Linked DNA regions of Bombyx mori. The protein of the gene in region 3 interacts with the protein of the main gene of each other region in a pairwise test. Links are inferred from orthologs where the notes say so. Each region holds a gene or a part of one and is shown on either strand. Other genes may lie near its edges. The genes, in order: splicing factor ESS-2 homolog, Dhs and Erk.

Evidence for each region.
Region 1: the proteins of Erk (region 3) and splicing factor ESS-2 homolog interact in a two-hybrid assay, tested with the Caenorhabditis elegans proteins (3 studies listed by BioGRID). The link is inferred for Bombyx mori from reciprocal best matches to the Caenorhabditis elegans genes mpk-1 and ess-2.
Region 2: the proteins of Erk (region 3) and Dhs interact in a two-hybrid assay, tested with the Caenorhabditis elegans proteins (2 studies listed by BioGRID). The link is inferred for Bombyx mori from reciprocal best matches to the Caenorhabditis elegans genes mpk-1 and dhps-1.

The regions. Positions count from the first base shown.
Region 1 is NC_085122.1:9,654,306-9,662,437, forward strand, and holds the start of splicing factor ESS-2 homolog, read right to left. Parts: upstream 3,715-8,132; 5' UTR 3,101-3,714; coding exon 2,945-3,100; intron 2,795-2,944; coding exon 2,641-2,794; intron 1,545-2,640; coding exon 1,407-1,544; intron 1-1,406. Other genes in the region: elongation of very long chain fatty acids protein AAEL008004, read right to left, coding at 5,453-5,623, 7,047-7,180, 8,026-8,131. UniProt on the Caenorhabditis elegans protein: Regulates pre-mRNA splicing.
Region 2 is NC_085130.1:7,166,948-7,174,608, reverse strand, and holds Dhs (deoxyhypusine synthase), read right to left. Parts: upstream 3,346-7,661; 5' UTR 3,223-3,345; coding exon 2,107-3,222; 3' UTR 2,058-2,106; downstream 1-2,057. Other genes in the region: tyrosine-protein kinase-like otk, read right to left, coding at 1,078-1,120. UniProt on the Caenorhabditis elegans protein: Catalyzes the NAD-dependent oxidative cleavage of spermidine and the subsequent transfer of the butylamine moiety of spermidine to the epsilon-amino group of a critical lysine residue of the eIF-5A precursor protein to form the intermediate deoxyhypusine residue.
Region 3 is NC_085116.1:4,096,924-4,104,955, reverse strand, and holds part of Erk (extracellular regulated MAP kinase), read right to left. Parts: intron 5,473-8,032; coding exon 5,356-5,472; intron 3,370-5,355; coding exon 3,202-3,369; intron 699-3,201; coding exon 510-698; intron 1-509. UniProt on the Caenorhabditis elegans protein: Functions in let-60 Ras signaling pathway; acts downstream of lin-45 raf kinase, but before the lin-1 gene product in controlling vulval cell differentiation. Plays a negative role in proximal germline proliferation in the mitotic zone.

The DNA.
Region 1 (8,132 bases), on a different chromosome or scaffold from region 3:
AAACCAAAAGGATTATTTTATTTTTTAATCAAGCTATCCCTCGATCATATTCACTTTCATTATTATTATTTAATGCTTTAAATAATAATAATGCTCGTTTTCGAAGTTAAAGATATTTAACATGTCCGATGTGGGAACAAAATTTATGCATCTATTTGGCAGTGAAAATCGAATCCTGAGAACCGCTTCGGCAGTTTCTATTGCTATTTGGTTGCATAATTTGTCCTTTATAATATTGACTTGTGAATAGTATATAATTATTCTAATTGTAATTGCAAATTGATACTCAAAAAACCTCCGAAATTTCTCCCAACTAACTTTTTCCCCCCGAATGTCCCCCCAAAGAATCTTTCCCCCCGATTTTCCCCCCCAAGGTCGAAAAACCCCCCGAATTTGCAGGGAATCCCCCCCATCTGGCAACTGTGCATGTATTTGACGCACATACGCATGCATACTATTTATTGTCAAACTTTTGTTCTTGACGTCTGTTGTCAAGTTGAGAATAGATTAAATATTGTTTGTCTTTGTTAATATTTTTTATAGTGAAGTCTTGACGAAATTTGTGATTATAGAAGTATAAAATACAATCATAATAGTGTACAAACTTACAATTCCAATTAATTATGGTCGAATTTCGACTACTGCAGGACCTCTAGTAATAAAAAAAACTTGTTGTGTTCTAAAACATGTGTATACCAAAACTATTATACATACACTAATGTTCTATATATACTAAATATTCCAAAATATAAAAATATATATAAGATCACTTTTTTTTTAAATTATGTTCAGGAAATTTTCTTAATATTATAACTTTGCATTAAAAGTTGACGGTAAAAGTGTGAAAAGCATAACTAGAATTTGAGAAAAGTGTTTTAGTAATCATAGAGCCTACATAGAAGGCAGGCAATTTTAAAATTTATTTTCAAAATCACTTGTTTCCTTTAAATGCATGTTATAAGTAAAAGTCTATAAGTCACTCAAACTGAAATGCTATTTCGGTCAGTAAGCTTACACAAACATACACAGCTTATTAATCATTATTAGTACCGCCATCTAACGTGAAATGGCAAAAATTATTATACAATTAACTAACAGTAGTAAGTAACAGGTGCTATCGGAAATGAATGAAAAATTATAGATATGAATTTAGTTATTAATCAATTTTATTCGAAGCGAAACCACAAACGGATTTCCCGAAGCGAAACGAAGCGAGTGAATTGTGATAATTGAAGTGTACCTTAGGTGTTGTATTAAATAGTTTTAATTAGTAATTCCGTGGGAATTTTTATTTATTCGGCTGTAACATTCAACAGACAAACAACTATTACAAACAAATATTATGAATTCGGGAGCTGTCCTCTCTCCTGCTCCTTTTACCGATATTTAAATTAAAAAATATTTACCTAAGCTGTGGTTATCAGTAATATCTGCGGTTTTGTCTTTAGTGGCATTTTTTGTTTGTCTGGGAGCATCCTCATTGTTGGTAGCAGGAGTGCACGGCCGGTCAATGTTTGGCGTGTCAAAAGTGGCTGGGGTGTTATCTGTAATTTAATTTAAAAAAATTATAGCCATAGGATCAATAACATAATATAACATAGTGCAATTACTGGTGGTAGGACCTCTTGTGAGTCTGCGCAGGTAGGTACAACCTCCCTGCATATTTCTGCTGTGAAACACTGATGCGTTTCAGTTTGAAGGGTGGGGCATTTATAGTTGAGACCTTAAAACTTATATCTCAAGGTGGGTGGCGCTTTTACATTGTAGATGTCAATGGGCTTCAGTAACCACTTAACACCAGGTGGGCTGTGAGCTGGTCCACCGATATCAGCAATAAAAAAAATTGATGATTAATAAGCATGACTTTCCTTTTCTTCTTGCTGCATCTGACATGAGTTTGTACAACCAACCACCTGCTCTATGACACACTTTTTGGTTATATATGCATATTATATGCAGCATATATCTATTGGCACGGTAGCCAGCGGCTTGGCTCTGCCCCTGGCATTGCTGAAGTCCATGGGCAACGGTAATAACTCACCATTAGGTGGGCCGTATGTTCGTCTGCCTACAAGGGCAATAAAAAAAAATAAAAAAATTTGCAATGTACCATAGTTTCTGTTTTTTTTGTGTTTCATTTGTTTTACATTTATTTATGTTTCTACAATTTGCATTTTATTATTTTAAACATTTTTGCTTTTTATTTGTTTTTCTGCAAATTCATAATTTATTAACAGACATATTTATTTACTGATCAATAAATAAATCACAGCATACAATTATACATAATTCAAACTGGTCAATACAAGATTCGGACACACATTTACTAACATCAATCACTAGGTGGGTTTATGTCTACATGGCTCACAGTCTACTCAGAGTTTATTGGTAACAAAAACTCATATATCCAATATATGTGCTGCCACTTTCATACATGTGGGTAGTCTCAATTATATTGCACAAGCTGTCCGATCCTTCAAATTGGAACACATGATTACTGCAGCATAACTAGACAGGATTATTACACCCATCCTTGCGGGCTGACAATATGGCCAGTAAAATCTTTGACTATTTACATAATAATTTCACACCCCTTACTACTTCGAGAACAACTGAAAAGTGAAATATTAGTATACTAACATGGTTCTGTAGGTGGTCTGTTCCCGCTATACTTTTGAGTTAATTCTCGAAGTCTCTGATAGTCTTTGTTTTCTGTAGCCTCCAAGTATTCGTTCTGTGCATTCAGTTTCTCTAGGTCAGGGAAGAAATCTCTTTGAATAATTTTTGCTATGCCCTGAAAATATGGCAACAACACTTTATTGTTTTTTAATGTCTTGTTAATTATATAAATAATTAAATAATGCAACAGAGCCTCTCTCTACGATCTGTGTTTTGTAAAATTCAAGATTTAAAAGAACATCATTAGAAATATAGCACAACTTACCTCCACATAAGCATCTTCCTCTAAAACCTTGCTCTTCTTCTCTGACTTCTGTTTGGGTATTTTTGGTACTTTGAACACAGTAGTCTCAGCTTTCAACAGCTTCATGTTCTGTAATGCTGCCTCTCCAGGCCTCATAGCGCTTCCTCCAGCTGACATTCTTTATAATGTTTGTTGCTTGTTTAATAATGTGCGTTTATAAAAATTATTTAAATAAACTACAGAAGGATATTTTTAGGGCTTTTAATGCCCTAATAGGTTCAATAATCTAGATTTCCTTTTAAGTATTTTTAATTTCTGTGTTGTAGTGTGAACTGTTGTGACACATGTCACACAGTTTTGTTGACAAATGTCAATTTATAAAGTGATTTTATGAACTGGTAGCTAAGACTTTTAAGTCGTGTCTTATTTTAATGTATATTCTTATTTTTATAAATAGTGATAATATGGAGTGAAATGAAACGAAGATGATTAATTTGAGACATTAATCAACTGGGACGAAATAAAATAAAATGAGATGTGATGATATGGGATGAAATATAATCTTAGTAAAATGGTGGTCATTTACTAAGATTTTTTCAGTATACTTTTTGGAGGATCCCGAGAAGTTACGTCCAGCGGCTTTGTTCCATTTGCTCACATTTGTGCACTTTCACAGATATTAAACAGTTAATAAACCACCGTTATTACACATTTAAACCTGAAGAAACACTAAATAGACAAATTAAACAAATCACACAACTTCACTCCTCGCGTTCCGACGGTGCGTACGGTAATCGCACGGTGCGTTCATTAGCGAACTCCTCTCCAAACGCAACATTGATATGCGAGCTGTTTCTGCAGCGTTAGTTCCGGGTCGGAACCCATATTTAAAAATCACTCGAATTTTCGAAGTATCCATCTTTCTTGTTTAAGCTGAATAAAAAAGCAGCAGAATGTTGCACATTTTTCAAAAAAAGAACCTCATAGGTACCATCTGAAAAAAGTTTCACTCAAAAATCTCAAACCATGAAGGCTCTATATCAATTTGAGTACATATTACAATAAAACGGCACTTTAATACTTTAACACCTATTGTCAATTATATATAACTAGCAACCCGCCCTCGCTTCACTTGAGGGACCATCATGTATTATTGATTTTATTGAATTTTCTTTTATACAAATCTGAACCTGAGAAAATGATGTAATATAGGATATTTTATAGCGGACTGTATTATATTGTATATTGATTTTTGTATATTGTGTAATACAACCATTAGTTCTACCACGTCGCTCTCAAAGTACTTTGTCAGCACTGTCATTCCCCTATTCCCTATCTATTGCGTAGTCACTTCTGGCTGCTTCTGGCAATTCATAGAGCTACAAATGTATTTTCACCCTCTCAATTGATACACCATTTCAATTGAAGCCTGCCAACTTTATTTTTATACTTAAATGCCTTAAAATATTGGCACACAACGTTTATAGGTCCAACAGCAACGGTTTGCCGTGAACTGTGAAATTCAGCTTTTTTTACATCCTCTTAAGTATTTTACCAATACAACTTTAACCGAAGCATTTGTTTTAAACGATATTCAGTTTTTTTTACATCCTCTTTGGGGATATTTGCAGAACGCATTCTGTCAATGTTATGTCAAACATAAGGATCCATTAGAAAATTTCATGTGGTGAATAAGGTTTTTTAACTTTCCTAATTTTCTGCGCAATTTTCTTATTTTTTTATTTCTTATGACCAAGGGAAATAGGGATTCATTTTTATATAAATAGATACTTTTTGCGATAACCCAAAACATTTTTTGTTCCCGTTCAGGATTTTACTTGTGTAAAAATAGGTGTGACATAATTATGAAAATAATATAAAGTAATGTTAAAGCCAGATTTCAGATATCCATTGTGGCCCTTCTTTGTTTATTGCGATATTATTTCTAAATTCATGCATAAATAATTATAAAACTTAATTTATTGCCTATAATTTTTCTAAGCTATTATGTGAAATTCTTATGACATTTACATGTGTATGACATTTCCCATTTCGGAACAAAATTATTTGCGATTAATATGCAGAAGATAATTTTATATTTTATTATTTTTGATAAAAGATAATAATATCATGATACTCGGGTCACATTGTTGATATTTCTATCGTCACTTGCTTACGTTACGGCTCGGCGCACGAACGTGTTAATCACCATCACTCATCACATCACCATTAATCATCACTACATAGTATAAAACAAAGTCGCTTTCTCTGTCCCTATATCTCTATGTATGCTTAAATCTTTAAAACTACGCAACGGATTTTGATGCGGTTTTTTTTAATAGATAGAGTAATTGAAGAGGAAGTTTTATATGTATAATAACATCCGTTAAATAGTGGAGAAATTATTAATAAATTACAGTTTGCGAAGCGAAATGAGGGCGGGTCGCTAGTAATAGCTAAAAAGAGGGTAAAAGATTCAAACAAAACAAACATTATAAAAATATAATTTACTTATTTTAGGTTACTTAACTACTTGTTTTTATTTTTCTTTAAAATGTACGCCTTAATGTAAAAATCGGAGAATAAGAATAAAATAAATATATTATGTGGTAGGAATACAAATGACACCCATTTCGGATATTCGCACGAGGGTTCGAATAGAACGTGCCCGAAGTGTAGTATCAGCAATAAGAATTGTAACTGTAACAAGAAAAACGGAAAGAATTAAGGTTATATGTTTAAGGTGAAGTACAAAATCGTATACTTATTTACAAAGAGAAATAGGTTTTTATTTTTATTTTTTATTGCTTAGATGTGTGGACGAGCTCACAGCCCACCTGGTGTTAAGTGGTTACTGGAGCCCATGGACATCTACAACGTAAATGCGCCACACACCTTGAGATATGAGTTCTAAGGTCTCAGTATAGTCACAACGGCTGCCCCACCCTTCAAACCGAAACGCATTACTGCTTCACGGCAGAAATAAGCGGGGCGGTGGTACCTACCCGTGCGGACTCACAAGAGGTCCTACCACCAGTAATTACGCTAATTATAATTTTGCGGGTTTGATTTTTATTACACGATGTTATTCCTTCACCATGGAAGTCAATCGTGAACATTTGTTGAGTACGTATTTCATTAGAAAAATTGGTACCCGCCTGCGGGATTCGAACACCGGTGCATTGCTACATACGAATGCACCGGACGTTTTTTAGGCCACGACGACTTATATTAGGTATTAATAAAAAATTTGCTTTATTCAAACAGTGCATGACCTTTTTTAAAGGAAAAAAACGTTTGAAATTAGGTTTTTTTTAATTTTCTGTGCAATGACACAGCTCTCGTCTAGTGATCTACTTTACCACTATGTAATTTGTCTCCATGCATTTGAACGTTTGTTAACCTATTTTATGCTAAGATTACACTAAGATACAGATTATAGATTTTTTCGTCTGGGAACTAACGTACAGCTGTTTGATGGTAGGTTAAAAGATTATTCTAGGTACGCGCGGACAGGTTGGCGAGCTCACGGACTTGACCTGGAAAAAATTGCTAACACCGGCCCTAGCAAGAGCAGTGCTTTGCAGAATCCACCACTGTTTCAGACATGTTCCGGCGGTGGCGACTTTGCTCTGTCGCCTGGGTTGGATATGTAATTAGCGGCGGCCACGTTATGAGGATTTTCGTGCAACGCCGCTTTGTCGAAGTACCGTTCTGACGCTACCAAGACGAAGCTTAAAGTGAAAGCCAGATTTCATCTATTCTTTGAATTACATTACTAATCAACTCCACCGAAATCTGATTTTCGTTTGTCAACCTACCTAAGTATTCATTACTGGTGGTAGGACCTCTTGTGAGTCTGCGCGGGTGGGTATCACTACCCTTCCTATTTCTGCCGTGAAGCAGTAATGCGTTTCGGTTTGAAGGGTGGGGCAGCCGTTGTAACTATACTTGAGTCCTTAGAACTTATATCTCAAGGTGGGTGGCGCATTTACGTCGTAAATGTCTATGGGCTCCAGTAACCACTTAACACCAGGTGGGCTGTGAGCTCGTCCACCCATCCAGCAATAAAAAAAAACACCTATGGAGTTTCTGTAAGTGCTGCGTTAGTAATAAAACTTACGATTTGCAATTGCGTTATGTATTTCTTCCACCACTGCCGCACCCAGAGCGGCCTGATTATCGAGACCAGGTAGTAACTGTACATCACCGCGTGCACCAATGAGTTTATGAAACCCAGCATCACGCCATGACCGCCTGCAACAGGGAAAAGTCATATCACAAATACACTCGGCTTAGGTAATTTATACCTAATCATGACTACATTTACGGTTTTATCTCGCGTGTGTTTTATTTTAAATTTTACGTTTCGAACACTGAGCGGTTTTCGTCGAAATAATATAGGTACGCGAGATTAAAAGGTAAAAGTAGTTTTAATTATGTCTCGGGAAAACCTATAAAAATAGTAATTTAAAGTTTTATAAAAAAATTTTTGCTCGTTTGGCCCAAAGCTTCTGCCCACAGCAATAATACTGATTTACGACTACGACCACTCTGTTATGTTATGAGCGATACGTCAAAGAAAAATATTTAATTGTTATTTCACTTTTAGACAGTACATTTACAATGTAGACGCCTGTTGTTACACTAGTGTCGATGTTTTATTCGGTAATGAGGAAAATAATAACATTAAAAACACAATAAGGCTTAGCTGAAAATCTGGCCGGTTTTTTTTGGAGTTTGAAAAGTGATTGTATTTTGTTTTTCTTTTCATTCCGTTTTTAATACGATTAAATTACTACGTCATAGTACGACCTGTAGAGGGGTCTACGGCTCTACGAAATACATATCGATAAAAGAAGCTACGAGAATGATCGCGCAACACAAGTAAAATTCGGCTTGGAGTCTGGGCCAGTTTTTTTACATTTAAAGACTTCATGGTCATACCGCAAGTAGCAAGCACTCGGCTTGGCTGTGTCCTCGGCATCGTCGATATCCATGAGCCACGGTGACCACTTACCATCAGATGGCAAGCATGCTCGTCTGTCTATCGAAGCACTAACAAAGAGTTCGTTCAAACAGACCACACAAAAAGGAAGTACCTGGTACATATTTAGTTCCGACGAAACCAAGAAGACACATTCCTAAGTGATGGTACACGTGGAGGAACGTCACCTGATTGAACTTCTTCCGAAGCACGAAGAAAACC
Region 2 (7,661 bases), on a different chromosome or scaffold from region 3:
ACTGTGCGCACATGTGTCTCAGCTTCTTCTTATAATCTTTGTAGGAAGAATACGGCCTATACATACTGCAACTGCTGTGGATAGTGCGTTTTTAGAGATGTACATAGGAATATTCATGTCACTCATGTACTGCCCTATTTAGAGCATTATATTCTTATGTCACAAAGCATCAAACAGGCCCCTCTTCAAGCTATTTTATTGGACGGTTATACTATAGCTAAGTATAGTATAGTATAACTATAGTATAGAGTAGTATAAATATAATATATTAAGTAAGTAAAAGTATAGTATAGTTTAAAACATTGGAGCAAGATACTCAAGAAAATGTTTACTTACATTTGAAAAATGAATTGACTGACATTACAATTATTTGGCTGAGTTAGTATTTTTATTTTTATACATTTCTTTCAATGTACTCATTTGAACATTCAACCAAAATCATAATTCTTAGAAAAACAGAAAAACAAATTCTAGTATACCATGTATGCATTAAAATGATTAATTATAAATTATTGAACATGAATTTATATTTTATTCCATTGAACCTAAAAAGTTTGCCAATAATAGGTACTCATTTCTTTCTGCTGCTTTTTGTTTTAAACATACTTTTCAATTATGGCATAATTAAGATAATATATTGTAAGCTGTCTTAAAATTGCAAAATTTAAAAAAAAACTTAATTTTTTTTTTAATTTATTTATTTAATTCATGGTTTCGGCTTCTATATGTTGAATACTAAATATAAGAATTAAAGGTCTCGGATATTAGTAAAATATTTAGAGAGAAACATCTCTGTGAATCATTATCGTATTCACTATAATTAATCACATTCACGATCGCCGTACAATAAATCATAATAAAACATGTTCGACGGTGAATAGGACTACATAGGCTGTAAGAACAAACATCCGGCCCTAACAATAACATTAAAAACAAAACATCACACACGCTGTCACATCAAAGCGGTTTCCAGTTAAAACGTGCAACAAATTATACGTATCCTAACAAATTCCCATTAAATATCTGTGGCTGCCAGGCTGAACCTATAAATAGTCTACAAAGGACGAAAGGACTTACCGATTAAAATGAGCGTGAATAAAACGAAACGTATCACAGCCATTTTAGCGAACTGGCACAAAATAATTTAAATATTTGAATTAAGAATGTTATGTTTGACTTTTGTTCATTTTTTTTTAATTATTAGAAGACGAATGGAAGAATCATAACAAGAATTTATGGAAGCACGCGGACGATTTGACGCAACCAACCGCACTGTATCGCGTCCAAAGATGAGCTAAAAGTTGGGGTTCAAAAGCTGTGCTTTCTATGTACAGCACACATCTATGAGACTTTAATTCACAGACGCACACATGTTTAATTTTATGGAAACCAGACATGGGCTAACTTCATTGGGTATTTGACAGTTCATTCACACCTAACTCGTCCTGAAATATGGGTTAAACAAACAATACATCTAACTTTATTATATAACTAATTACACATATTTCGTATATTAATCAATATTATAAAACATAATAAATGGTGAAAATCAAGATAAAATCATACAAAAATCAAAACCACAATTATATTATCGAAGTTTAATAATAGATGGCGCTTTACAGAATTATCTTGTATTATCGACCGATACTAGATGGCACTATATTGCAATAAATGTATTTATAATTTTATGAGGTGTCCAAGTTTTATTTTGAAGGACTTGTAACATTTTAGGATAAACTTTGCCAGCATTCATTATTTTAGTACATACAAAATTGAGTTTACTTATATAAAGTCGGAATATACTGGTGGTAGGACCTCTTGTGAGTCCGCGCGGTTAGGTACCACCACCCTGCCATTTCTGCCGTGAGCAGTAATGCGTTTCGGTTTGAAGGGTGGGGCAGCCGTTGTAACTATACTGAGATCTTAGAACTTATATCTCAAGGTGGGTGGCGCATTTACGTTGTAGATGTCTATGGGCTCCAGTAACCACTTAACACCAGGTGGGCTGTGAGCTCGTCCATAAAAAATAAATTTTAAAAATAAATAAATAAAACTTATCTTGGTATCATTTAGTTTTTAATGTACAAAATAAATAAAAAATGCAGTTTAAACATTTTTCTTACTGCTAAAATGATGTTTAGCAAATGTTTGAGCTACGATCAAGGGGAACACTAACGTAGCATCTGCATATAGCTTCACTGGATTCGCATTAGGTCTGATTTTGCCCCACGAGACTGCTTCGTCGGGCCTGGCACCTGCATCACTGCCGTCAAATTCACTGGCCGTGTTCACGTACACAGCGTAATCAGCACCATTACGCATCAGATTTGCGTTACAAATATGATGTTTGATCAAACCCCCACCTAATATTATGACTCCAGTGTTGTTGGCTTTGACGGCCATGGTGTTCAATCTGCGCAGGTCTCCCAATATGTCTATGATCAGTCCGGGACGCTTAAACGAGTGGAAGTACATCATGTCGCCTAAGGATCCATCAGTCAATGCGGGACTAAATATAGGTATGTTGTTCCTCCAAGCCCAATAGCACACTGAGCTCTCATTGTTAATCCTCTCCCCTAACCGGGCTGTGATGCGCGACGGACTCCAAACAGTACCCTCTTTCATCTGTTCAGAGATCATCTCGTCCAACAATGGAGTGACCCACTCCTCAAACAAACAATAATTATCATTTGGCACCAACAAATTGCCTATCCTGTTTATACCTCGTGTTCTTAACACTTTCCCGCTTAAATTAAAATCACCTACATAGGTCGGAGCGATGCATTTTATCAAGTCTTCCTCGATCCCTCCAGCTGTAGTCACAATCACATCCACAAGCTTATTTTTAACTAAAAAACGGATCGTGTCTCTCAGTCCCGAGGATATCATGTTAGAAGTATACCCGAGGAATATAGTACAGTTAGTTTTCTTCTTAATAAACTGGTCTTCTTCATAACAATCGCTGTTTTCTTCGGTTAACGGAACCGCTCGGCTTTTGAGCATATTATTGATTTCGACGACAGTTTTACCGAAATTCGTGGCCTGAAATCCGGAGTTAGCGTAAGATTCGAGTATTTTATTGTAATCGGTTCCATTTTCCCAGTCGTAGCCCGCGACTATCGGTGTTTCTGCAGGTAAATCTTGGCTCGGTTGCAGAACCGCATTTACGGCAATATTTGGGGCTACTTTAACAGGTTTTTCGACGTTGCACGGGATTTCCATAGCTGTTTTTGTTATTTTCCAGATCAATTACCCATAATACCCTTAATATAAATCAACGTCCCAATCGAAAATATTTTAATCTAATAAATAAATTTAGTTTGATTTGAATTGTCATTGGTCAATAATGTCATTTGACATTACTGACTGAGAGCTGTCAGTTGTCACCGGTTTAAATTTTATAAATAAAAAGGCACTAGATCACTACACATAGTTTCTCAAAAGTCGTATTGACACACGAATTATCTACAGAACTGTATGCTTAGGTAATTATCTAAATGAGACATGAGCTTAAAGAACACAACGGCTAACTGACACGGAGTTATAGTACAAATAGTTAAAAATCAAAATGTAAAAAGGACAATAGGAAACCATTCCAAAACACTGATTCTATTCAATTCCAGTTTGAAATAAGCGATAACCTATATATATATATATGTCGTGGTTAACGACTTTTAGTAATATTAAGACGTTGTTTTGACTTTTTATAAACTGAGTTCAACCAAATACGAGTGATGACGGAAACTACCGCTTAGCCAGCCCCGCTGCGCTGACATATATTTATACACACAAATAATAACCAGCCACATAATTGGCGGTTTGCGCTCTAATCGATAGATCTACTGTGGAATCATTAGATATATTTAGTGAAATAAAATTTCAATATGTAACTAAAATGTCAGTACTATAAATTAAAGAAACTCTCTTGTTTTATAATTACTCACTTCAAGAGCTTATCCTCAATTGGTACTATTTTTTTACTACGCTTTTATAAACTTGTATCAATCTCTCTACCTATCTAATTTGTATATCTTTTAACGTTAATTTCCACAATTTTAAAATGTCAAATTGATTTAAAAATTTGTACACGTATCGAGATTCGATTACAGTACAATAATTTTAATAAGTTGTTGTTATAAACTGTGCAAGATAACAAGGAATAAAACGATATTTTTTTTCAAGTCGACCTTTTACTTAATTAACGATTTTTTTTAAAACTACAATGTAAATAGTATTTTTTTTTTTTGTAGTCCGTTGCTGATTGAGAAACAAGTTTTATGAAAATTAAATTATTATCCGTCAAGTACATACAATAATAATGATGTAGGAGAAGGCCGGCATATTTGTGGTAAGATGTGCTTGTATTCGACTTTCTACGCATGCGCAGGTGTTACGTATGTGTTAAGCAAACGGGATTTGACACAGTGTAGCTAATGTTCAAAGGGTCATTCGTATTTCAACGTTCACGGACTTAGTTTTTCTTATGTTTTTATTATATTACTAGCTGTACTCGCCCGCTTCGCTGGGCATTTAAACTTAACATTATTATTTATTGTCATTATTATTAGGGAGTTTAACACTCATATAAATATTAGCCTATCCATTAAGTACATGTATTTTCTACAGTCAATCGGATGCATGGTTCAGGTGGTGGATGTTCCGTTATAACTAACGGTAGATTTGTATATTAGTATAGATTTGTAGTATTTGTATAGATAGTAGTCTCAAGATGGGCGGTGGCATTGACGTGCTTGATGTTTATATGCTCCGGTGACCATTTAAGACCTAGAGGACCGGGAACTCGTTTACCTATTTTATCAATAAACAAAAGCAAATATAATAACCTCATATCTTTATCTAAAATCCATTGCCTGAGATGTCCATTGACGTATTTGCCAAGCGCATCCATTAAGTACGTCATAATGCAGTGTCAGTTCATCCACGCTGAATCTGCAAGTCGCGTCACCAATCAAGTTCACTAGGTAGTGCTTTTAAAATCTATAATAAGTGAAAAAAAGCTCTTTAAAAACCTTGAAGTTTTAAACCTGAGTATCTGCGAACAATTTACACTGTGTCCGATCATGTAACCGCAAATGATACGAAACGAATGTATGCGGATAATTTTGTTAGATTTTGATCACCTTTTACAAATAAGATTTGTTTTAATAAATTAAATAATTGCGAGCTAATTACGCACGGTTGTCCGGCCCCAATTTAGGATTCCATGTGGTATAGGTACCAGAGACTGACAATCCTATATAACTAATGGTAGGACCTCTTGTGAGTCCACGCGGGCAGGTACCACCACCCTGCCTATTTCTGCCGTGAAGCAGTAATGTGTTTCGGTTTGGAGGGTGAGGCAGCCGTTGTAACTATACTTGAGACCTTAGAACTTATATCTCAAGGTGGGTGGCGCATTTACGATGTGGATGTCTATGGGCTCCAGTAACCACTTAACATCAGGTGGGCTATGTGCTCGTCCACCCATCTAAGCAATAAAAAAAACAGCAGTCTGAACATCACATAGAGAAAGATCGAGGGACTACTGATTACCCTTTTTTTTATCGCTTAGATGGACCGTCGAGTTCACAGCCTACCTGGTGCTAAGTGGATACTAGAGCCTATAGACATCTACAACGTAAATACGACACCCACCTTGAGATATAAGTTCTAAGGTCGCAAGTACAACGGCTGTCCCACCCTTCGAACCGAAACGCATTACTGCTTCACGGCAGCAATAGGCAGGGCGGTAGTATCTACCCGTGCGGACTCACAAGACGTCCTACCACCACCAGTCAAAAACGAACTTTTAACTACAAAGATAAATGTTGCGTATTAATCGAAAAACCTTTCATAACTCGATATAAATATGCTTTTTTACGTATGTAGTTACATCTAAATGTATTTGTAAACATATTTGCCGTAATTGTGTTTTCTGTTTCGTAAAAAAACAAAGGAATTTCATTACGACAATTTTATAACACGGCCTTCAAAGCACAATGCATTCGACGAACGACAAATAAATGAATAACACTTTATGTAAACAACGTGAAATGATGCAAATGACAGTTTGCGCCAATATATTGGAACCAATGACCAAATATTGACCAACAAACAACATTACACGTATTAGGTACATACATTTTTTGCAATCACTGACCATTACACTTTAATCTAAAATAAATATTGTTTTTTTTTCTAATTCATTAAAACCTTTTATTTCAGAAACCAGCCCACTTTAATCTATTCCAATTACGAAGTCCCGTTTGACAGATTTTATTATCTATATATTAATACGTGAAGCAGAAACTTTGTATCCTTTTTTACGAAAATTGCGCGGACGGAGGAGTATGAAATCTTCCACACGTATTGCCTCAATCGATAAATAAAAGACCTAAACTTTTGTATAAAATAAACATAAGACAAACAAAAGGAATTCGTTCGACGAGAGACAGCAAAGGAAAAACAAAATTGTTAAGTATTTTTATTTAATTCCGAGAATTTTCATATTTATCTACCTTTTAAACCTTATCTGGACTTCCACAAATAATTCAAGACCAAAATTAGCCAAATCGGTACAGCCGTTCTCGAGTTTTAGCGAGACTAACGAACAGCAATTCATTTTTATTTAATATATAGATTATGCGTAACGAAGAGTTATGTTCTAAAAAGTGTCGAAAGGGACTTCGTAATTGGAATAGGGTATAGTGTATATGGGCGCAAACGCCACTGTTGGCAATAATTAACATAATAATATATAGTTTAGTTTATTATATGTTAATATTTATTAACAAAAACTGTTATTCTACCATATTTAATAATTAGCAGACACTGTTTTGATGTGAAAATGTTCAGAATATGTTTAATGATTATATTATTGTTTAAAAACACAAATGACTGTATAAATGATTAAATATGAATAAAGCATAAATATTAATAATAATTTATATTATAATTAACAGTACTAATAATTTAATTAAGTATTGTAATTGTTATGCAATGATGTTGTTGGCGCCATCTATTATTAGGCTGGATAATAACAACGTTAGTTAATATTACTTAAAAGTAATTCATGTAAATTAAATTAAATGTGAGTCATGTAAAATCACTAAAATATGTATTTTGAATATTAAGCTATGTTTTGTGAATTGTTTCGCAGTAATTACATTTGTTTGTATAAAAGAAGTTGTAGTTGCTATAACCAACACAAAATGGCTAATTGTGTAAAAACCACTGAATAACTCAGGCGTGGCTTTTTGTTGTAAACAAGTAATGTTAAAGTTTTATAGAATTGTATTGTATTTTCATTGTAAAATAACTTATGTGTGTAAATCCTGGCTTAACGCCGACATGTACATAGACATCATTGAAATAATATTAAAATTACCATTTACATAAAATCTATTAAAAAAATATCTAAATATAAGTGGAAGCACACTCATACACAATCTGTATATTAATAAGTGTAATTGTCTATGACAATAGAACCTTAATAATGTTCAAATCCATAATTTCAATTAATTATAGTCGAATTTCGACTACAGAATTATTCTAAGGACTACAGAAGGACCACTACTAAGTATAAACACACACAAGCGAAAATAAATTGTTGAGTTCATTGTGTGCAGTCCGGTCCACTGCTGTCTTATCAGGTAATCCAG
Region 3 (8,032 bases):
AAACGAATTTCACTTAAGATTGTAATTAATTGCATAAGTATTTACTAGTATGGGATAATCGTGTTCCAATTCATGCATGAATTCAGCATGATTGCTTCGCAAATATTTTGGTACTAAGGGATAAAATCACCGCGTCTGCGACCATACACACCATAGTCACTGCATGCATGTGCAACTCAAAATGCAACGTACAATTCAAAACAATGATGATGATATTAATTTATCCCTAATGGGAAAGGCCAAGGACTTTAGTCCATACAGCCAGGTCTTGTTTTTGGTAATAATTGGAAAATTTTGGTAGTTTTAAAGGCCGAAGCCACGTCTTCATTGTTCTTGATCGTAAGGCCGAAGACATGTCTTGTCTTATTGTTGTCAAATCTTATTACTTTCGGTCATAAGGCCAAACGCACTTCTTCGATGTTTTGAATTGGTCAATGTCAAATCCATAAGCAATAATAGTAGAATCCAATTCAAAACAAGCGTCTATGAAAACAACGTTTATTACATACCTCATCATTCGGGTCGTAGTACTGCTCGAGGTACGGATGGGCTAGGGCTTCCTCGACCGTGATGCGTTTGTGAGGGTTGAAAGTCAGCATGCGATGGAGCAGGTCCAAGGCGCGAGGGTCCGCTCCGGGGAAGAGGTCCACCCACGGCACGCGAGGCTTGAACGGCAACGACTCCAAGTAACCACGAGCCTGATTGAACAGCAAACAACATTTTGGGCTAAACATTAGGAGCAAACGCAAACATTCGTAAATCAATACATAGTATAAAACAAAGTCGCTTTCTCTGTCCCTATATCTGTCTGTCTCTATGTATGCTTAAATCTTTAAAACTACGCAACGGATTTTGATGCAGTTTTTTTTAATAGATAGTGATTGAAGAGGAAGGTTTATATGTATAATAACATCCATTAAATAGTGGAGAAATCAATAATAAATTATAGTTTCCGAAGCTTAGCGAGGGCGGGTCGCTAGTCTTTTATAATTGAATATGCAATTTCGAAAAGGGCACATCTCTGAAAATGTAAAATGTTCAGGAAATGAAAAAAAATATCTGATTATTTTCAAAGCAGTGTAAAATTTAAAATATTAACTTTTGAGATATATCTTAGTGTTAATTAGTAATTGAAAATTACTGGAATTATTATAAAATGGGTGTAAGTAAGCCTCAAAACTACATGTATATGAAAAAACGTATTTGACAAAATATGCGACATGTGCCCTTTTCGGAATTGCCATATTCAATTATAATTGAATTTTTGATGAGGTTAATTAATGCGGCAAATTTCAGGCCCAAAATTATACAAAAGCGGTATGAAAACTTTTCCACTCGCGACGCTGCGTATAATAGACGAAGTCGATTTAAAAGGAAAATTAAAAACATTCCGTTTACGTCTTTGTTGTGCTGATTTTACATCGAGCAATCCCGAGAGTAATAAAATTGAATATAATATTATAAAGCTGTTATTGTTAGAACCTTAGTAATTTTGTAAAGCACTTAATTTGTAAGTATTGTAACAAATATGTTGAATCGAAGACTATTTACAGAAAATTTCTTTCAACATCATCGTCACATTACTTTTAGCAACAATTTTATTTTGTTGTTAACGTATGATTACGTTTAATTAAAAAATATGTATGTTGCTAGTCAACATCAAAAAATTAATATAACAGTATCAAAAGCCCATTGCGATTGCATAAATATGTTACCTACAACGTTCTGAATAAGCCGATAGATAAAAAGATTACATATTATAGCAAAACAACTAGATTTCAAAACTTCCCGTAGTAGTACCGTGTACAAAGCATTAACTAAACCTCGAAACAATATCGAATAGGCAGACAAAGTGTCACTCACATATTAAGGTAAACTAAGATGCAGCTCAACAGTATTGAGAGTTTAATGGGACATAGACTCTTAATGACCCTCCTTTAAAGGACTCATTTGATTCGCGGTCTAAATACGTATCTTATTCAACCAAGTCAACTCAAGAAAACCCTTAGGCTCTTAGAAAAAGAGCACAAAAACGAAGAGTTTACATCATTACGTGCGATTCAAGTCGCCACTTCACGAAAGAATCCATTTATAATATATTTTATCCTGAATAAAATAATTAAACAGAATAACCAGAAAATTCGAAATTTCTTTCAATAAATACCGAAAAAAAGAATTAAAGACTTTTAAACTCACACTATCCCACCCACACTCTTATTATATTAGTTACCACGTGGTATGAAATGAATTCACTCTTTATAAGAAACGAAATCACTAAACATACAGACAAAAGGATGCAATAAAGCCTACAGAGTATAATGAGAGGTGTAGATTCAATTGTCTATACGTCGAACGAGTTTTTTAATAGTAACTGTCGATAAGTCTATATATAATTAACAGTAGACTATCATTTTCAGGATAGTTGAACAGATGATATGATGCGATCTCAGATATCAAAATGGATTTTCCTTTGTATGTAATAAAGTGGATGTCTGTAATGGTAGTAGCCTCGGGCTGTGTAGTTTTTAGAATGACAAAGGAATAAAAAAACAGATGGTTCAACCTTTGTAATTACAATGAGCAAATTCTTCATAAATAATATAGTCTCTAAATTAAAATAATACTATTTTTCTTTTTCTTACCTAAGCTGATGATAGCCTTGGGAGGCTATTTCAGCGTAACCTTAACTAGTAGGTGAGCTCACGGGGCTCAAGCCCGAGTGATGCTAACACTGACCCTAGCAAGAGCAATGCTTCGCAGAATCTACCACCGGATCGGAAACGCGACCCACTGAGAAGATCCGGCGAGAAATTCAGTGGGCTGCGTCTATGGGTTAATTCGCTCGTCGAGCCCTTCGTCGCAAGCGACGGGTTCGACGAGGACGGTGACCGGTGCTTGTTTTACCTAAAAGCACTGTTAATGGATCGAGAGGATTCGTAATGACCGTTGGACGACGTCGAATTATACTAAATACTAAACTATATCATTCAAAAAATTCAAGTCAGATAAAATTCATATTAACAAATTTTAATATTAGACATAATTAATTGTTAAACATTATGTAAAACACTGAGTTGAATATGATGCAACAGTTTTTATTAGTTTCAAAAGTACTTTAAAAGGAAATTCAAAATTTCCACTAATCTCGGCCCTTCGGATATTAAACATTCACAATTCATCGGTATATTACAACTGGCTTACCTTTTCGTTAATGATGCAATCAAGATCCTCCTGACTCGGCGAACCGAGCACTCCCAAAATGTGATTCAATTGATCCAAATAGTGCTTGCCCGGGAATATAGGTCTGTTGGACAGCATCTCCGCCAAAATACATCCCACTGACCAAATATCTATTGATTTGGTATAGCCCTGTGTTAAAACAAAAATCGTTTTATATCAGAAAATTTCATTACTCGCCCAAGCAGATGTACCTAAAATGTGTCAACGTTCGGGACTAGATTTATGACTACAATACCAACCTAATAATTGTGGATTTATGAATACGTGAGCTTGTACGGTCTCCTATAGATTTAAAAACGAAATTTTATTAAGGTCTACCCGGTATATCGCGCGAGAGAGAAAAAGACATTTTGTTTTAATTAAATTTAAATACGTAATAAATTCTGAGGGAGAATTGAAAACATCCATAGTTTATTCAGAAGGCAAAATAAAGCCGCAGATAATAACATAATAAATTATATAATTTATGTAGAGACTAGGGCTTTGTTTTGTCGTTTCATCTCAAAACTTGATCTCGATTACGCCAGACGGATAAGATTCTTGTCTCCATATATTATAGGCCTTCACTGACATTGAGGCAGCGAATAACGCCAAAATATCCTAAACGAGGAGAATAGCAGGAATGTATTGAATCCAAAAATGTTCTAATGAAATACGTAAAGCCAATATGTAAGGGAAGTTTCAGGATATATTTCACATGTTAAGAATGTGTTTATTATATTTTTAGAAACATATAAAGTTAATAATCAATTAGAGCAAATGAAGTCTACTTATTTGGTGAGTTAAGAAGTCCTTTAGAATTTCATTTAAATCGTATTACTTTCCTCAAGTGTTTTATCGCACAGGCACGTTCAACATTTAACTGTGAAGTATATTGCGGAGGTGAAATGTGAATGCGAATTCTTCTGTAAACAAATAGGTTCGGGGCCTCGATGTAAAGATACCTCTGCGTACGATACGTGTAATTCTTGCCAAGTTTGGGGGCCAGGACAGAAATTACTCCAGCTTAGGTTGACTTTTATGCGGAACGTAAATTCTCTCAGTTTTGTCTCTTGAGGCATTGAGTTTTATGATGCGAGCTTTATTTGCTTTTACTTTTTATGTATATGGAGTGGTATGTTCGTTGCTAAAACTGCGTCGGCCAACTTAAGAATAATCATAAAAAGTCTAGATTACTTAGACGAAACCATCGGACATTCTTCGTTCTTGGTGTTCGTTTTGTATTTGTTTAGATAACATTATTTCAATAGATTATCGATACTATTTATAATATTATTAGCATGTTTTTTTTTTGTTTTAACACGGATAATCGCGTACCCCGCAATCTTTTGCCTACCTTTGACCACCGCGCTCGCGACAGCACTGAACATAGGGAATTCCAACTAAAAATCGTCGTAACAAGATAATAGTATAGATAAGCGAGAAAATTTAAATAATTTGGGCCATAGCATCTATTGTTGTCTACGCTTAGCCTTAATAAGTAAAACAATGATTCATTTAACAAACATTCAAAAATACAATTCGTCATCGATACAGGCGCATTACGCGTCGCGTTTAATAAATATCACATACATAGTAACGTATTACGGTGTTATCGAATAACATATTTAGTGAGTGTATTATCAATGTTTGCTGTTCAAAATCATTCTAGTAATCTCAATTATTTGTTCAAGTGGATTTCAAACGAATTCACGGATATTTTCATACGTTTTGTCTTTCTTATAAGCTTGTAACGCGATTTTTGACTAGAAGAAAACGAAGTACGTTCAGCATTTCATTCGAAAATTATTATTTATCAGTTTTCATCATGATACAACAAGCCGAACTATATTGTGTGGTAAAAAACTATTTGGTTTGAACGACATTTGGCTTAATATGCGACATCATTTATCTTTGTAATTAAAGATTCATTTTATTTGGAATTACATCAACAATTCGATGTTTTTAAATGAACTTTAATTAAGTTTACCTTAAATCAAATAGCTGAAGAAGTTTTTTGTTATATTTTTTTCCCAAATTTTTAATTTTAAATGCCTATCTTTTAAAGTTGCAAAAATGTCCCTTAAACCAAATAGCCTTTCACCTCTCGATATAATAATATTATAGACTATATACCTTTGAGTTGAGCATGATTTCAGGAGCACGGTACCAGCGCGTGGCTACGTATTCCGTGAGGAAACCGGTGTGGTCGTGATCAGGATCCGCAACTCGCGCCAGACCGAAGTCGCAAATCTGTTCAATACAATAATAAAAAATTAACAAAGCAATCCTAAGTTACAAAAAGAAAAACGATAAGTTAAAAATATTTAAAACAGGAGTAGATCAGAAGTACTTTTACGTGTGGTAGGACCTCTTGTGACTCTTGTGAGTCCGCGCGGGAGGGTACCACCACCCTGCCTATTTCAGCCGTGAAGCAGTAATGCGTTTCGGATTGAAGGGCGGGGCAGCCGTTGTAACTGTACTGAGACCTTAGAACTTATATCTCAAGGTGTGTGGCGCATTTACGTTGTAGATGTCTATGGTCCAGTAACCACTTAACACCAGGTGGGCTGTGAGATCGTCCACCCATCTAAGCAATAAAAAAAAAGTTACAAAAAAAAGATAAGTTAAGAATATTCAAAATAGGAGTACTTAGATCAGAATTTAATTCTTTTGTTTATTGTTTTCGCAAAAGAAAAACAGAACAACTTATTATTGTAACAGCAACGAAAAAATAACTGAGCTTCCACTAAAGTATACCCGAGTTTTAAAAAAACAAAATATGCAAAGAAATTGTATATCCGCTCGAACCAAAACGTGAAAAGCACTTGTAACGAGCCCCTTCACTCGAAAAGCCGAGATCTCGAGGAGTTTCGACGTTGCCGTAATACATTGCTCAGGATTAACGGTTGGTAAGACACTGAAGAAGCTATGAATTTTTTATTTCTAGAATCATCTACCGTAAAACGTCTATAGTACTCTCAGTAGAACTGTACTGCTATATTTTTTTTTACTGTTTTGATTGAGGTTACTCGTAATATAATAACTCGTCCGATGTATTTAGACATAGGTTAGTACGATCGATACTAAGTGCACATTAAGTAGCTATTAGTGCATATTTGGATTACTGGTGGCAGGACCTCTTGTGAGTCCACGTGGGTGGGTACCACCACCCTCCCCATTTCTGCCGTGAAGCAGTAATGCATTTCGGTTTGAAGGGCGGGGCAGCCGTTGTAACTGTACTGAGACCTTAGAACTTATATCTCAAGGTGAGTGGCGCATTTACGTTGTAGATGTCTATGGGCTCCAGTAACCACTTAACACCCGGTGGGCTGTGAGCTCGTCCAACCATTTAAGCAATAAAAAATAAAAAATAAAAATTTGGATTATTTAAACGCAATTGAATTGGTCGTTGGAGTCACGTAATCGTTTTTGGCTGGACCTGACTTTAACCTTTTTAGTGCTGAGCTTATTAGCTATTATAGTAATAGAAGGCAAATGGAACCATTGTTTAATAAGCCTGTTGTTTATAATGATACCTTACTTCTGAAATTCGACTGACATGCTAAAACATTGGCAAGACAGTCAAAATCCAGGATAGCGGAACTTTCTGACGTACCATCGATGCGAATGATTTATCAATCCTGTCTTTTATTAATGTACACTGTGAGCACTCCAAAGTTAGACTACGATTTTATATTCAGTGAAAAATGAATTAAGCGTCTGAACCTGCCATATCGAATCACATTTTGAATTACAAATATAAGGAAATAAATATATATATAATGTAAGCCAAAATTATTTTTATATAATAGTTTTTTGTCCCTTGTACCAACTACTAGATAGAGTCGGCCTAGCTTGATTCCATAAAATAAAATACATACACACTTGTATATGTGTGTTCTCAAATTAAAAGCACTCTATGTGAAATTTCCATTTTATAGATTGATAGTTTTTAGCAAAAAATAGATTTATTGCTGCTTCCAATATCAAAAAACCTGCCTTTAAAAATGTTTTAATACAAATTAGAGTTGTGTGACACTAAGAAAAAAAAAAGGGTAATTTTTACAAAGACCTTGGAATGTAACTCTATAACATAGTTGGTACCACCGCATATGTTAAGCTTACAACCATATGATAATGACAGAAGCAGTTTTTATATAGATCGAAGCAAAGCAAAGACAATACGTATTGCAATTTAAGCCCATGATTGACGTCATTTGGTGCTTACGTCTGTTTGTCGTATGTAAAGAACTGTTTTGGATGAATAATTGAAATCAGCAAATTCACGATTGCGATATTCAGGACGTTTTCGGTTGACGTGTGATTGAATGCGGATTCACTGTCCATTTCCGAAAAAACGTGTATTGGCTATAGAATTCTTTAGGCGGATTTGGAAAATGACGTTATTATTTAATTTAATGTTTTGTCTGCACAGCTTGGTATTACACCCCGTATATCTTCTTTATTTCTGAACAGTTTTAATACTGTTTGACTGTTTATCGCCTGTATTAAGTTATATATTATTATGAAACGATTAAATAATTAGATCTAGTGCCATATAGTATAGCGTATAGTAAGTATAGTATAGTAAGTATAATATATAATAATAGTAAGTAGTATAGTATACTATAGTAAGCCGTATACTAAGCCAATAATATATAGTACATAACATGTCCTTAACAATGTATGGTGTGCGATATTGTTGTGCTATGAGCTATTTAATATATGCTATTATATTATGGCGTAGGCTGAAAGCAACTTGACCGTGCGAGATTTGTTTCTAGTTCCTTTTTTTATAATCTGCACACAA